3 linked regions of the Nothobranchius furzeri genome follow. The protein of the gene in region 3 binds, or shares a complex with, the protein of the main gene of each other region. Links are inferred from orthologs where the notes say so. Each region holds a gene or a part of one and is shown on either strand. Other genes may lie near its edges.

Region 1 (3,012 bases), on a different chromosome or scaffold from region 3:
TTAACGAGAACCGCTGTTGGGAAAAAAAAATGGCAACCATAACTCCAGGAGACAGACATAATATGGATTAAGATGGGCACCAATCAAGAAACAAATAAGAAGCTCTAATAAAGTAACACTCTGGGAAAGGGAATGGGTCTCATTTACCTTCATTAGCCATTTGTTATAGAATGTGATGCCTATAGAGAAGACATAGTAGAGGAGGACCAGTCCAATAGTGCAAAGACCTCTGAAGAGGAACTGAACTGGGCACGCCATCCGGGACTTCCAGGACCAGCTGTCCAGAATGGACTGTTAATGCAGAGGGAGCATCTCCAAAATACCTCTGCACCCCACCACACCACCCATAATGGTTCACTAGAATAAGGACCTAAGGGGAAAAACAACAAACATATGAGATATGTTATTCGGATTCAACAGAACATCCTTATCTACAACAGATAATGTAAATATGTGAGATATAATTCAACTTAGATTATCTGAAATGACTGGGGGACCTCACCCTATACACCTGAAAGACACATCCGGTCTAGCTTTAACAAGCTCTAGCAGACAGCCATGACTTGTTAATGTAACTTAAAAATAAACTATTTTTTAAAATAAAGTTCTCAACTAAGGAGAGTTGTAAATAAAACCCTTCACTTCTAGGAGCGTTAAATTGTATTTTATTTACCTTTATTATAATTCTGACCAAGAACCATGCGATTTGGATTTGGAAGATGCTATAAAATTAAACCAAAAAGTCATTAAGACTGTGTTACCACAGCCACAGCGTTAGCCTACACAGCTAACAGCTAACGAGACATGTGGAGATGAACGGCGTAGCACACACATCCTACTTTACATCTAGATATAATATAAAGTGTGTCCGGTTTACCAGATGGCTTGTGAAGAATCATCACAACCAAGCAGTTGCTATCTTTAGCCGTTAGCTGACAGCTAAGCTAACGCAACTTTCGGATCTCTAAACGTTTTAACAACATTAACATAGAAACATTTAGTAGCTAACCAGCGACTCTAGTGTAGTTCTTACCGGTTCTGATCTTGTGTACACGTCTGAGCACAGAAAGAAAGAAAATAAGGCACTAGATATTTGAGCTAGTGTTTCTTTCCGCTATGTTTCTTCTTCTACGCCTTCAACGGAGGTTGACACATTATTCACAAATGCATGCTGGGTTAGAGAAGCAGAAAACAAAAACCGCCAAAAAGCTTCAACTTCATTATCATTCATGATATAGTTTGGCTAAGTAGAAACAAAAACACTCAAGAAAACAATTGGAATAGATGCAGATCTGAAATAAACCTAATATACATATGAAGTCGTTATTTTTTCCGTTTGTTGAATTCAGCCTGTCAGTGTGACTCTCATGGCTCTAATATTTATTAATTTATTTTGTTTATTTATTTATTTATTTGTGACTCGTTTCAATCTCGATTTTAAACAAGAATTTATTCAAAAGATTAGATCTGCGCTGACGTTTCAAACTCAGTCCAGTAGGTGGCGGTCATGCAATTTGAAGTTGGCGTGTCAAACGCTGAAGCCCAAAAATACCAAAGAAGAAGAACAACAACGAACGTAGAAGAGTCTGGGGATTGTTGTGATCCAGTTTTCAAAGTAAAATGTAATTTTTGTTCTCTAAAACGCATTTTGATGTTTGCATGTTGTAAGTGTGAGGTTTATCTTACAGTAAAGCGTCGTTAAGGCTCGTTTTATCGGCGTTTTCCTCCAGAATTAATGGCGGACGAGGAGGACGAGGCTGGCTTCGAGGAGGAGTTGGAGGACGGGTCCAGCGGAGTGGATGTCGGCCACGGCAGGAGAAAGAGACTCTTCTCTAAGGAGCTCCGGTGCATGATGTACGGGTTTGGAGACGACCAGAACCCGTACACGGAGTCTGTGGATATTCTGGAGGATCTGGTGATCGAGTTCATCACGGAAATGACCCACAAAGCCATGTCTATCGGGCGCCAGGGCCGCGTCCAGGTGGAGGACATCGTTTTTCTAATTCGCAAGGATCCCAGAAAGTTCGCCAGAGTCAAAGACCTCCTGACCATGAACGAGGAGCTGAAGAGAGCCCGGAAAGCTTTTGATGAAGCCAATTACGGCTCCTAATGAACTCGCGTTTGTTTGTCGCTTCCTGCTAACTGGTTTGTGTATTTTTTAGTGGTTCTCACTTGAATAACAGAACTGACTGTTTTAATGACATGTTTACACTGTCAAGTCATCGGAAACTCTCAAATAAAGTTAGTTTGTTTCAAATAAGTCCCAACACCAACAGGAAAACCAACATCTGTTATTTACATTGAAGAATGAAACTTTCTGCCAACGTGTTGGAAAGGATTGTTAAGGTTTTTTTAAGTGTTTCCATGGAAACTGCGTGAATAAATTAACATTTCATTATCTTTCCTGCTGTTTGGATTGGAGAGACTTTTGTGGTATATCAGGTGTTTCTGCAGTTTAAAATTAGAGTTTTTACACCTTAAATGTACCCGTATGTCGTTAGTTTCCTAACTTTGTTGCTGTCTGCAGAAGAGATGACCTGCTGTGGCACATCTGGCTGGGATTTCATAATTGTGAGTGTTAACCCTTTGATGCATAATGGTCACTACAGTGGACAGGTACTCAAAATTGTTATTTATTTGTTTTTGCACAAAGCACAGCTGTTGAAGACTTGATGGCATTTGAGCCCCTCCATTTGGACTTCAGTAAGTCAAGCCAACATGTTTCATGCTCAGAATGCACGCTGCCCACTGAGGTGGACATGTAATAAATTATTTGTAAATTATAAAAAAAATATATATTTGTTGAAATTTGTTTCATTCACACCTAAAGACGAATGAAAAAAATCATGGTTGAAGATTTCATAATTCATGCATCAAAGGGTTAAAGCATTTTGTAATAATGTTCACTCATCTGTTCAATCAGAACTAACCAGTTATGCCATTCAAAGATATATCTACAGTTAATCGCTCATAACATTTCCACAGAACACTTCAAAGGATCTAAACGCTTCC
Region 2 (4,127 bases), on a different chromosome or scaffold from region 3:
TCTGGCTACGCTAATGGTGACATATGACAGACTTCTCTGAGCTCCACAGCCATTACACTTTTCACCTAGCGCACCCCCTAGCGGCAGCTCGCGCACCTCCTAGCGGCAGCTCGCGCACCCCCTAGCGGCAGCTCGCGCACCTCCTAGCGGCAGCTCGCGCACGCACCACACTTTGGGAATCCGTATTCCAATCCTTCCTATCTTATCTATTAAAGGTCTTCTGTTAACTGACAGAAAATGCAACGATCTTACAATAAGATCACCCTTAAATGAATCTCTTTTTCCTGGAAAAACAAACAAAAATAACATAATTTACACATCTGATAAAACGTCTGTTGAGAAAATAAGAACTATCTACCTAAAATTACCTATACCACCGAAAGCTAAAGAAACCCACTTTAAAATAATGAATGCAATCTATCCTTCAAAAGAGTTGTTAAGAGCTCGTTTTAATATTGATAGCAACAACTGCTCTTTTTGCAAAAACCACATAGAAACTATAGATCATATATTTTATGAATGTCAGAAATCACAATTGTTCTGGAAAAAGCTAGAGGTGTGGATCAAACCACTCCCAGTTCACATCACTAAAGATATGATAATATTTGGAATTATATTCAATAATAAAGATAAAGAACTGCTATAATATCATCCTCTGTTTAGCCAAATTTTTATCCATAAACAACGAATTTTACAATCATCCACTGTCTTCAATGTTCTTAATAGAATTTCAATTATATTTAAAATCCCTGAAACATCTCAACAAATATAACGAAAATCTATATAACATGTTAGCTGAACTTCCAAAGTGATTTCCTAATTCTGTATGATAAATGCTGTACTCTACTTGTTCTTCATGTTCTTTTGTCTCTTGTTGTTGTCTTTTTACTGGATATTTACAAATGTTATTTTAACTGCTCCTTTTGAATTTAAGTTTTGGACTTAACATTGTCAAAGTGCCATGTTTGTTTTTAAATTTACTAAATAAATAAATAAAAATTATTCTTCTTCTTCTATCATGTGGGGACCCTTGAAGGGTCAGATTCCTGATTACGAGTTACTAGTTTACATTCTCCTAACAAACGGAAGGAGTTCATCCCCCTGGTATCTACAGCCTTGCCACAATTTTATTTTGAAGCCCGAAAACCCAACAGGTTCCACGTCCCAAACAAAAGAATTTGATTTAGTTTTGACTCTTGTGCTTTCCGTAGTTTTAGTGACACGTGACCCGAGTATTTATATAGAGGTGACTGGATCATTTGTTTCTCTGACTGAAGAGAAAGGAAGAACATGGCGTCGACGAGCCGGTGCGTAACCAGTTGGACCAACTCTGCAAAACATGTTTGTTCTCTAGTTGAAGTTCCGAGAACGTGAGAAGTTGAAGAATGTGTACAAGAGTGTTTTTAACAGACGACGCTGGTCTGCTGTTGTGGATGTAACGCGTTTAGGGTTAGTTGTGGTCTGGTGGCAGTTAGCTTGCTGGAGAACGTCAGATGCTACCAGAAATCTCTGCTTGTGTCGCCGCTGCGCCTCGCAGCTCCGTGCGGATCCCTTTAGTTTCGTTTCTGTTTGAAGCTCCTCTGCGTCGGTTCGCGTGCGGAGAAGGCTCGTGCCATGGTGAATAAGTAACCAGCGTAGCTCCGAGTCAGTCTGGACGTTTGTAAACAAATCTTAGCCACGTTGGATGTTTACAGCGATTATCATCGTTACCATCGGCTCCCTCGGCTCTCAAAGTTTAAAGTTAAAGTTCCACTAGTTGACATTTGTTCTCCGCATTTCACCCATCCCTGGGGGAACTGTGGGCTGCAGACACAGCCGCGCTTGGGAACCATTTGGTGGTTTGACCCCCCCCCCAATCTATCTGAGTATCAAGCAGGGAGGCAGTGGGTCTCAAGTCTTTGCTGTGACCCGACCGAGATGTGAACCCAGTCCCAGGGCGGGCACTGCTACTAGGTCCCTGAGCACCGCGGTGAAGTTAGCCTGAAGTTGGATGTTCGACAGACATCGGTTTACACGGTCAGAGATGAGTCTTCATGCCGTGCACGGCGGCACAGACAGCGGTAACCTGGGTTCCGCGGACTCGCTAATGGGAACGGTGGTTCCCTTAGGGACTATCAACAAATTTGTAGTCCTTTGTAAACGAGTACAAACAATTAAAAGCTTCCAGAATAATTTGCTAAATGACTCAAAATAACTTCTGACTTGTGTTACTAAACTACATTTACAAGACACAACAGTGTTAACACATTTCACACAATCAGATCTTTTTTATTAGGATTTTATTCCAAAATTAAGGGACTTTTTTTTTCAACAGTTCCTAGGTAAATCAGTCTAAATCCACAAAACCATTTCTCGATTGTGTTACTAAGCCAGACCAATGAGACGCAGCAGTTTATAACAACTTTCATACCATCTGATCTGCTGAGGGTGAGACAGGGAGCACCAGACCTGCTGAGGGTGAGACAGGGAGCACCAGACCTGCTGAGGGTGAGACTGGGAGAGCCAGACTTGCTGAGGGTGAGACAGGGAGAGCCAGACCTGCTGAGGGTGAGACAGGCAGCACCAGACCTGCTGAGGGTGAGATGGGGAGAGCCAGACCTGCTGAGGGTGAGACAGGCAGCACCAGACCTGCTGAGGGTGAGACGGGGAGAGCCAGACCTGCTGAGGGTGAGACAGGAAGAGCCAGACCTGCTGAGGGTGAGACAGGGAGAGCCAGACCTGCTGAGGGTGAGACAGGCAGCACCAGACCTGCTGAGGGTGAGACGGGGAGAGCTAGACCTGCTGAGGGTGAGACAGGCAGCACCAGACCTGCTGAGGGTGAGACAGGCAGCACCAGACCTGCTGAGGGTGAGACAGTGAAGAGTGAGATGATTTTAGTGGCTGATGAGAGGAAGATCTGAATGTAATATTAAGTGAACACAGTTACATTTATGTAATCCCATTACAAGTAGAGCTGGGCAGCACGGCCATGCTGTTCATGCTTCCTTAGACATACTAGAAAAGTAAGTGTTGAACTCTGCATTCTGGTGCATCTAGACAGCAGTTTTGTCCGTCTGAATAATAACGTAGTTCCAGCTGTTGTTGTGAGTGAATGATGTATTTTTTCATTCAGTCACAAACAAACAGATAGTTCTGATTGTTGGTCAGCATTGTTGGCTGATGTAGTTTAAAATATTCTGATGAGAGTCGGATCAGTTCAGACTGAATATTCACAGCTTTAGTCTTGTATTAAATCTGTTTACACATCTCTACCCATAGGAATAAGATCATATATCCTACGTTCATGTTATTAACAGCTTTTTTATCATTAACACGTCCACGCTGGCCAGTAATCAAACCTGGATCCGGCTAATGGGGAGCCTAAGTCTCCGCCCCTTCTGGTTGGCTCATTAGTCCCCGATCAATAAACAGAATGTTAGTGAACTTGCTATAAAGTTATTTTCTAGTCTTTCTGGGGTTTGCCTTACGCCCCAAGTCTCGTCTGTCAGGCTTTTCATATCCTAGAGTTCCACCGTCTGTTTTCTATCAGAAGCGAATGCAGGAGATGGGTGTAGGAGACTATTTTCATGTTCAGCCTGCATGAAACACTCAGAGTGACCCGTTAGAATCAGAAATAATCATTGAATGTATTTTTTTCAGTGAGGTTGACCTACATATTTACCTAAAACAGATTTATCAGATTTCCAACCCCCCCCCCCCCCCCGGTCCATCCCATTAAACTCCTTCCTACTCCTTTGGTTCCCGCTCATTTTTGGCCTTGCGTCGTTCCCGGGTACAAGGGGATCTGCTTGGAATAGTGACGCCCAAAACCTTCTGTTGCTGGGAAAGGTTAAAGGTTATCTCCAAACTATTTACTAGCTCATTCCACAGAGATTAAGATGAGTTATAAATGCAGAACCTTAATCTGTGGTTCATCCTGAGCTCAGAAGTACAAACAACCCAAGAGCTCCATCTCAGACCCTACAAGCCTCATTTAGCAGGTCAAAGGTTTATGTTCACCTTGTTGATTTGTAATTTATGTAATTAACACACATAAATATATCCCTATTGGCTTTCACAGCGGTGAAGGTCTGACCCTGCCCAGGGTTACGTGCCCCAACCACCCTGATGCCATACTGGTGGAGGAC
Region 3 (3,655 bases):
ATCTGGGAGTATGAACATAAAAGACAGACTTACCATCGAGTTGCACCGTAAGATCAGTAGTCATAAAACTGGCCTGTGTGTGAGAAGTGTGTTTGTAGATTTTTATATGTGGTTTGGTAATTCTTTAGTAATCTTGTCTTTTCTGGTCTTTAGTACAGCCCATCAGTGACACCAGCTGTCGATACTTCAGCAACTTACAACAAATCTCAATCATTTGCTTCTTTCATTTACAGCTGATGGTCGCCACGGAATAGTGAGAGTGGACCGTGTTCCTTTGGCCTGCAAACTGGTGGACTTACCTTGTATGATTGAGTCTCTGAAAACTGTAGATAAGAAAACGTTTTACAAGACTGCTGATGTCTGCCAGGTAAACCACCACTCTATGATTTAATGTTTGCACTTATTAGAAATAAAATGGAAAATGCATGCTCAAACCTATATGCACTGTAAAAAAACAACTAAAATAAATCAGAACTATTTTGAGTAGGGGGAAGGTAGAAGCATAAGATTATGGATTTCCAAACCCCTCCTACAATTTTAGAAACACAAAATTTTAACTCCACAAACACACGGGCAAAAACAAAACAAACAACAACGACAATTGACCAGTCTATTATTTTTATTTTTATTTAGATGCTGGTGTGTACACTAGATGGAGACCTTTTTCCTCCGCTGGAGGAGCCAACTGGCACCGACCCCAAGAGCAAAAAGAAAGATAAAGACAAGGACAAGAAATTCATTTGGAATCATGGCAGTAAGCTGATGAATATCTCTGCATAACTGAATTTTTAATAATTTGTTCTAAAGAAAAAGTCACATGTCAGCAGTTGTGGATGCAGACTTTGCCTCCTCAGCTGATTGAATCATTTTCACTTTGCTAACTCTTTTGTTTTGGTCGTCAGTAACCTGCCCACTGAAGAACACGCGCAAGCGACGATTTCGGAAAACAGCCAAAAAGAAGGTAGACATTTTTAAAATCCCACCCTCTTCCCCATTGCCCTGCTGTTTCTTTGGCATATTGTTTGATGATTCATATATTTCTTAAGCTCTGCTCCAAATGTACTTTTCATAAAACAGCCTCTGTGGTGAAAGTGAAAACCAAGATTAACATATAAAGTGTTCCATCTTTCCTCCAAAGGCATGCAAAAAGGCAATTTCACTACTGCTTTGATCAGAGTGAAAGTGAACAAGCTTGAGTGTGACACTTTTACTTTGTCTTTTGAATAGATCTTCCTGAAGGTGCTGAGCAATATTGATTTGGCTCTTCATGTTTTTAATCACAAAAGTACTTCCTGGCTTGGATCCAACAGTTTTTTGTGAGGGTGTGTGTGTGTGTGTTTGCATGTGTGTTTGTGTGGTTAAGAAGTAACCTGAACTCTGTTTGTTTTGCAGTACATTGAATCTCCTGATGTGGAAAAGGAAGTGAAGAGATTACTGAGTACAGATGCTGATGCTGTCAGCGTTCGTATCCTTTTCGACTCCCACAGTACAAAACATCATGAAAATCTCCCTAACCTGTTACCGTCCAGCAAACTAAAAGGGTTGTTTGGAAACAATACAGCTGTAAAGACAAAAAGAGACCATGGAGATGTTTATACAAAAGTTTTAGAAATTAGGTTTATGGGGCGAATATGTTTATATTGCCAAAAGGAAATTGAAATAAAAGCAAAAAACAGCTTTGATGAAATGGGGCGAAATTGTAGCCTGACCAGCTAGCTGGGAACTCTCCTATTCAAATGACCCCCCCCCCCGGAGAATTCGAACCAAGCAAATCAGTGCTGAGCAGCGTACGAAACACACCGTAACGATGAGTTTCTCATAAACAACGAAGACGGCTTCTGAAGCGGAGTTCGCTGTAGAAGAGCTAAAAGACTTTCTTCTAAAGAAAGATCTTTGCGCTGTCGCCAGAAGCCATTTTTGACTACAGCTAAAAAAAAAAACTTCAGCGTCGCGCGTTACAGTCATCATTTCCGCCTTTTTTTCTGATTGGTTATTTTTGAGTTGGCTAGTCCTGCCTCTCATGTGCCTCTCTGCCTGTGAGTAACCAGACCTGTTTACTGTGTAGAACAGAGGACGAGTCTGGCAGGGCAGGCTAACAAAATTTAGTTAGTTAAGAACTTAACTGAACAAATAGCAAGTATAAAATGTAAGAACTAACGATGTATACAGAAAAAGTCCACATTTATGTAAACAGCTTCAGTAACTGCATAAAAAATCACATTAGAATTGTTGAGAGGTTCTTGGGACAGTTTGATGCTGATTTCATGTAGTTTCACATGTTTTGCAAAACAGGAAATATGGTGTTTCATTAACAAGTTAGTTATAAAGAAAAAAATATTTAATAACAAATCTGCTAAACTCTTTCCAAAACCTATGTCTGGAAGAACAGTATCGAAAAAGATGTGCAATGTATTTTGTCCGAGAGGCATTGCTGTAGTGCGATGTCATCGGCAGGCCCCTGAGCACATCGGGCACCCTGAGTAGATCTGGTACCTACACCGTCTCTGATCTGCTTTCACATGTACATTAGTGATGTTGTAATGCCTGCGGGGAAATGGTGTGTTCTGAGAAAAGCTGGTTAACATGTCATAAGCAGGACACACCCCTTAAATTTACATGTTCCATCCCACTTCAGCATCACTAATATATAAACGTTGGTCACGGTAATGCTAACCGCAGAACAACACTAGCCCAAGCTATTGCTAAGGACCTTATTGGACAATAGGAAAACAACAAAGAAGAATGTCAGAGCTTGCATTGATCTCGGATGAATTTGGAATATTCAGACATTGAATAAATACCAGAGCTTGGTCCACACCTCAACCCCCCCCCCCCCCAATGTCCTGAGAGGATGAGCAGAAAACAGTGCTCAGCAGTATTATGTATGACAGTAGTCTCTGTCGAGGCTGTGGTGAAAACCTGACAATCTCAAACTTAACTGTGATGTACACAGAATTTAATATCTCACATTTAATCCAAGACCCAGCAGACTCCGTCCCACCCAGCTCTCTTTATCTGGCTCCGTGTGATGCTTTTGTGAGGCAGACACTGTGTGAAAAGAAGCTATTAGAGCTCTAATGAAACCCTGAACATTTCTGACAGAATAAGAGCACAGCGGAGCGGCTTTGTCTGGCTGCTTGCTGTGTGTTATTGAGACGGTCGGTTCATTATTGTTTGGTCACAGAGAAACTAGATTCTGTTTATGTTTTTGTTGCTAAATGTTGTCCCTCAGGTGTGATTCATAGAAGAGCTTATTTAGGTTCATCTCACAGGATTTGAGGTATTTTAGTGTTGGATTTTTTTAAAGATTGGCCCTAACTCAAGATGTTCAGGATGGGAAATTATAGCAGAGGATGAGTCCAAAGAAGCAGACCAGCATGGGTCTCTGGCTAATCTGGACTCTTCACCTGGTACTTCAGGACATAAGGGTCACGGGTCCTCAGGTAAATGTAAATACACGTTCTGTTTGATGAACAGCTGGTATGGACTTTGTTGACAAATCTGGGGTACAGATTAAGACTCTGATTGTGACTGCTTTCTATAAAACCATACATAAATCCTGAAAGGACGAAAAGCCTGAATTTCTGCTTTAGTCCCTCAGGAAAAGCTAGCATAGATCAGATCTTTATACATTCGTATGCATGTATTGTTTGCT

The links.
Region 1: taf7 (region 3) and taf13 share a complex: the UniProt entries of both Homo sapiens proteins name them as parts of the TFIID basal transcription factor complex. The link is inferred for Nothobranchius furzeri from reciprocal best matches to the Homo sapiens genes TAF7 and TAF13.
Region 2: taf7 (region 3) and gtf2b share a complex: the UniProt entries of both Homo sapiens proteins name them as parts of the TFIID-containing RNA polymerase II pre-initiation complex. The link is inferred for Nothobranchius furzeri from reciprocal best matches to the Homo sapiens genes TAF7 and GTF2B.

The regions. Positions count from the first base shown.
Region 1 is NC_091755.1:48,193,792-48,196,803, forward strand, and holds taf13 (transcription initiation factor TFIID subunit 13), read left to right. Parts: upstream 1-1,500; 5' UTR 1,501-1,615; exon of another isoform or gene 1,616-1,622; intron 1,623-1,688; 5' UTR 1,689-1,735; coding exon 1,736-2,110; 3' UTR 2,111-2,400; downstream 2,401-3,012. Other genes in the region: slc35c2 (solute carrier family 35 member C2), read right to left, coding at 148-258. UniProt on the Homo sapiens protein: The TFIID basal transcription factor complex plays a major role in the initiation of RNA polymerase II (Pol II)-dependent transcription.
Region 2 is NC_091751.1:71,417,663-71,421,789, reverse strand, and holds the start of gtf2b (transcription initiation factor IIB), read left to right. Parts: upstream 1-1,215; 5' UTR 1,216-1,290; coding exon 1,291-1,307; intron 1,308-4,060; coding exon 4,061-4,127. UniProt on the Homo sapiens protein: General transcription factor that plays a role in transcription initiation by RNA polymerase II (Pol II). Involved in the pre-initiation complex (PIC) formation and Pol II recruitment at promoter DNA.
Region 3 is NC_091741.1:82,931,203-82,934,857, reverse strand, and holds part of taf7 (transcription initiation factor TFIID subunit 7), read left to right. Parts: coding exon 1-47; intron 48-233; coding exon 234-367; intron 368-633; coding exon 634-754; intron 755-902; coding exon 903-961; intron 962-1,392; coding exon 1,393-1,465; intron 1,466-3,332; coding exon 3,333-3,443; intron 3,444-3,655. UniProt on the Homo sapiens protein: The TFIID basal transcription factor complex plays a major role in the initiation of RNA polymerase II (Pol II)-dependent transcription.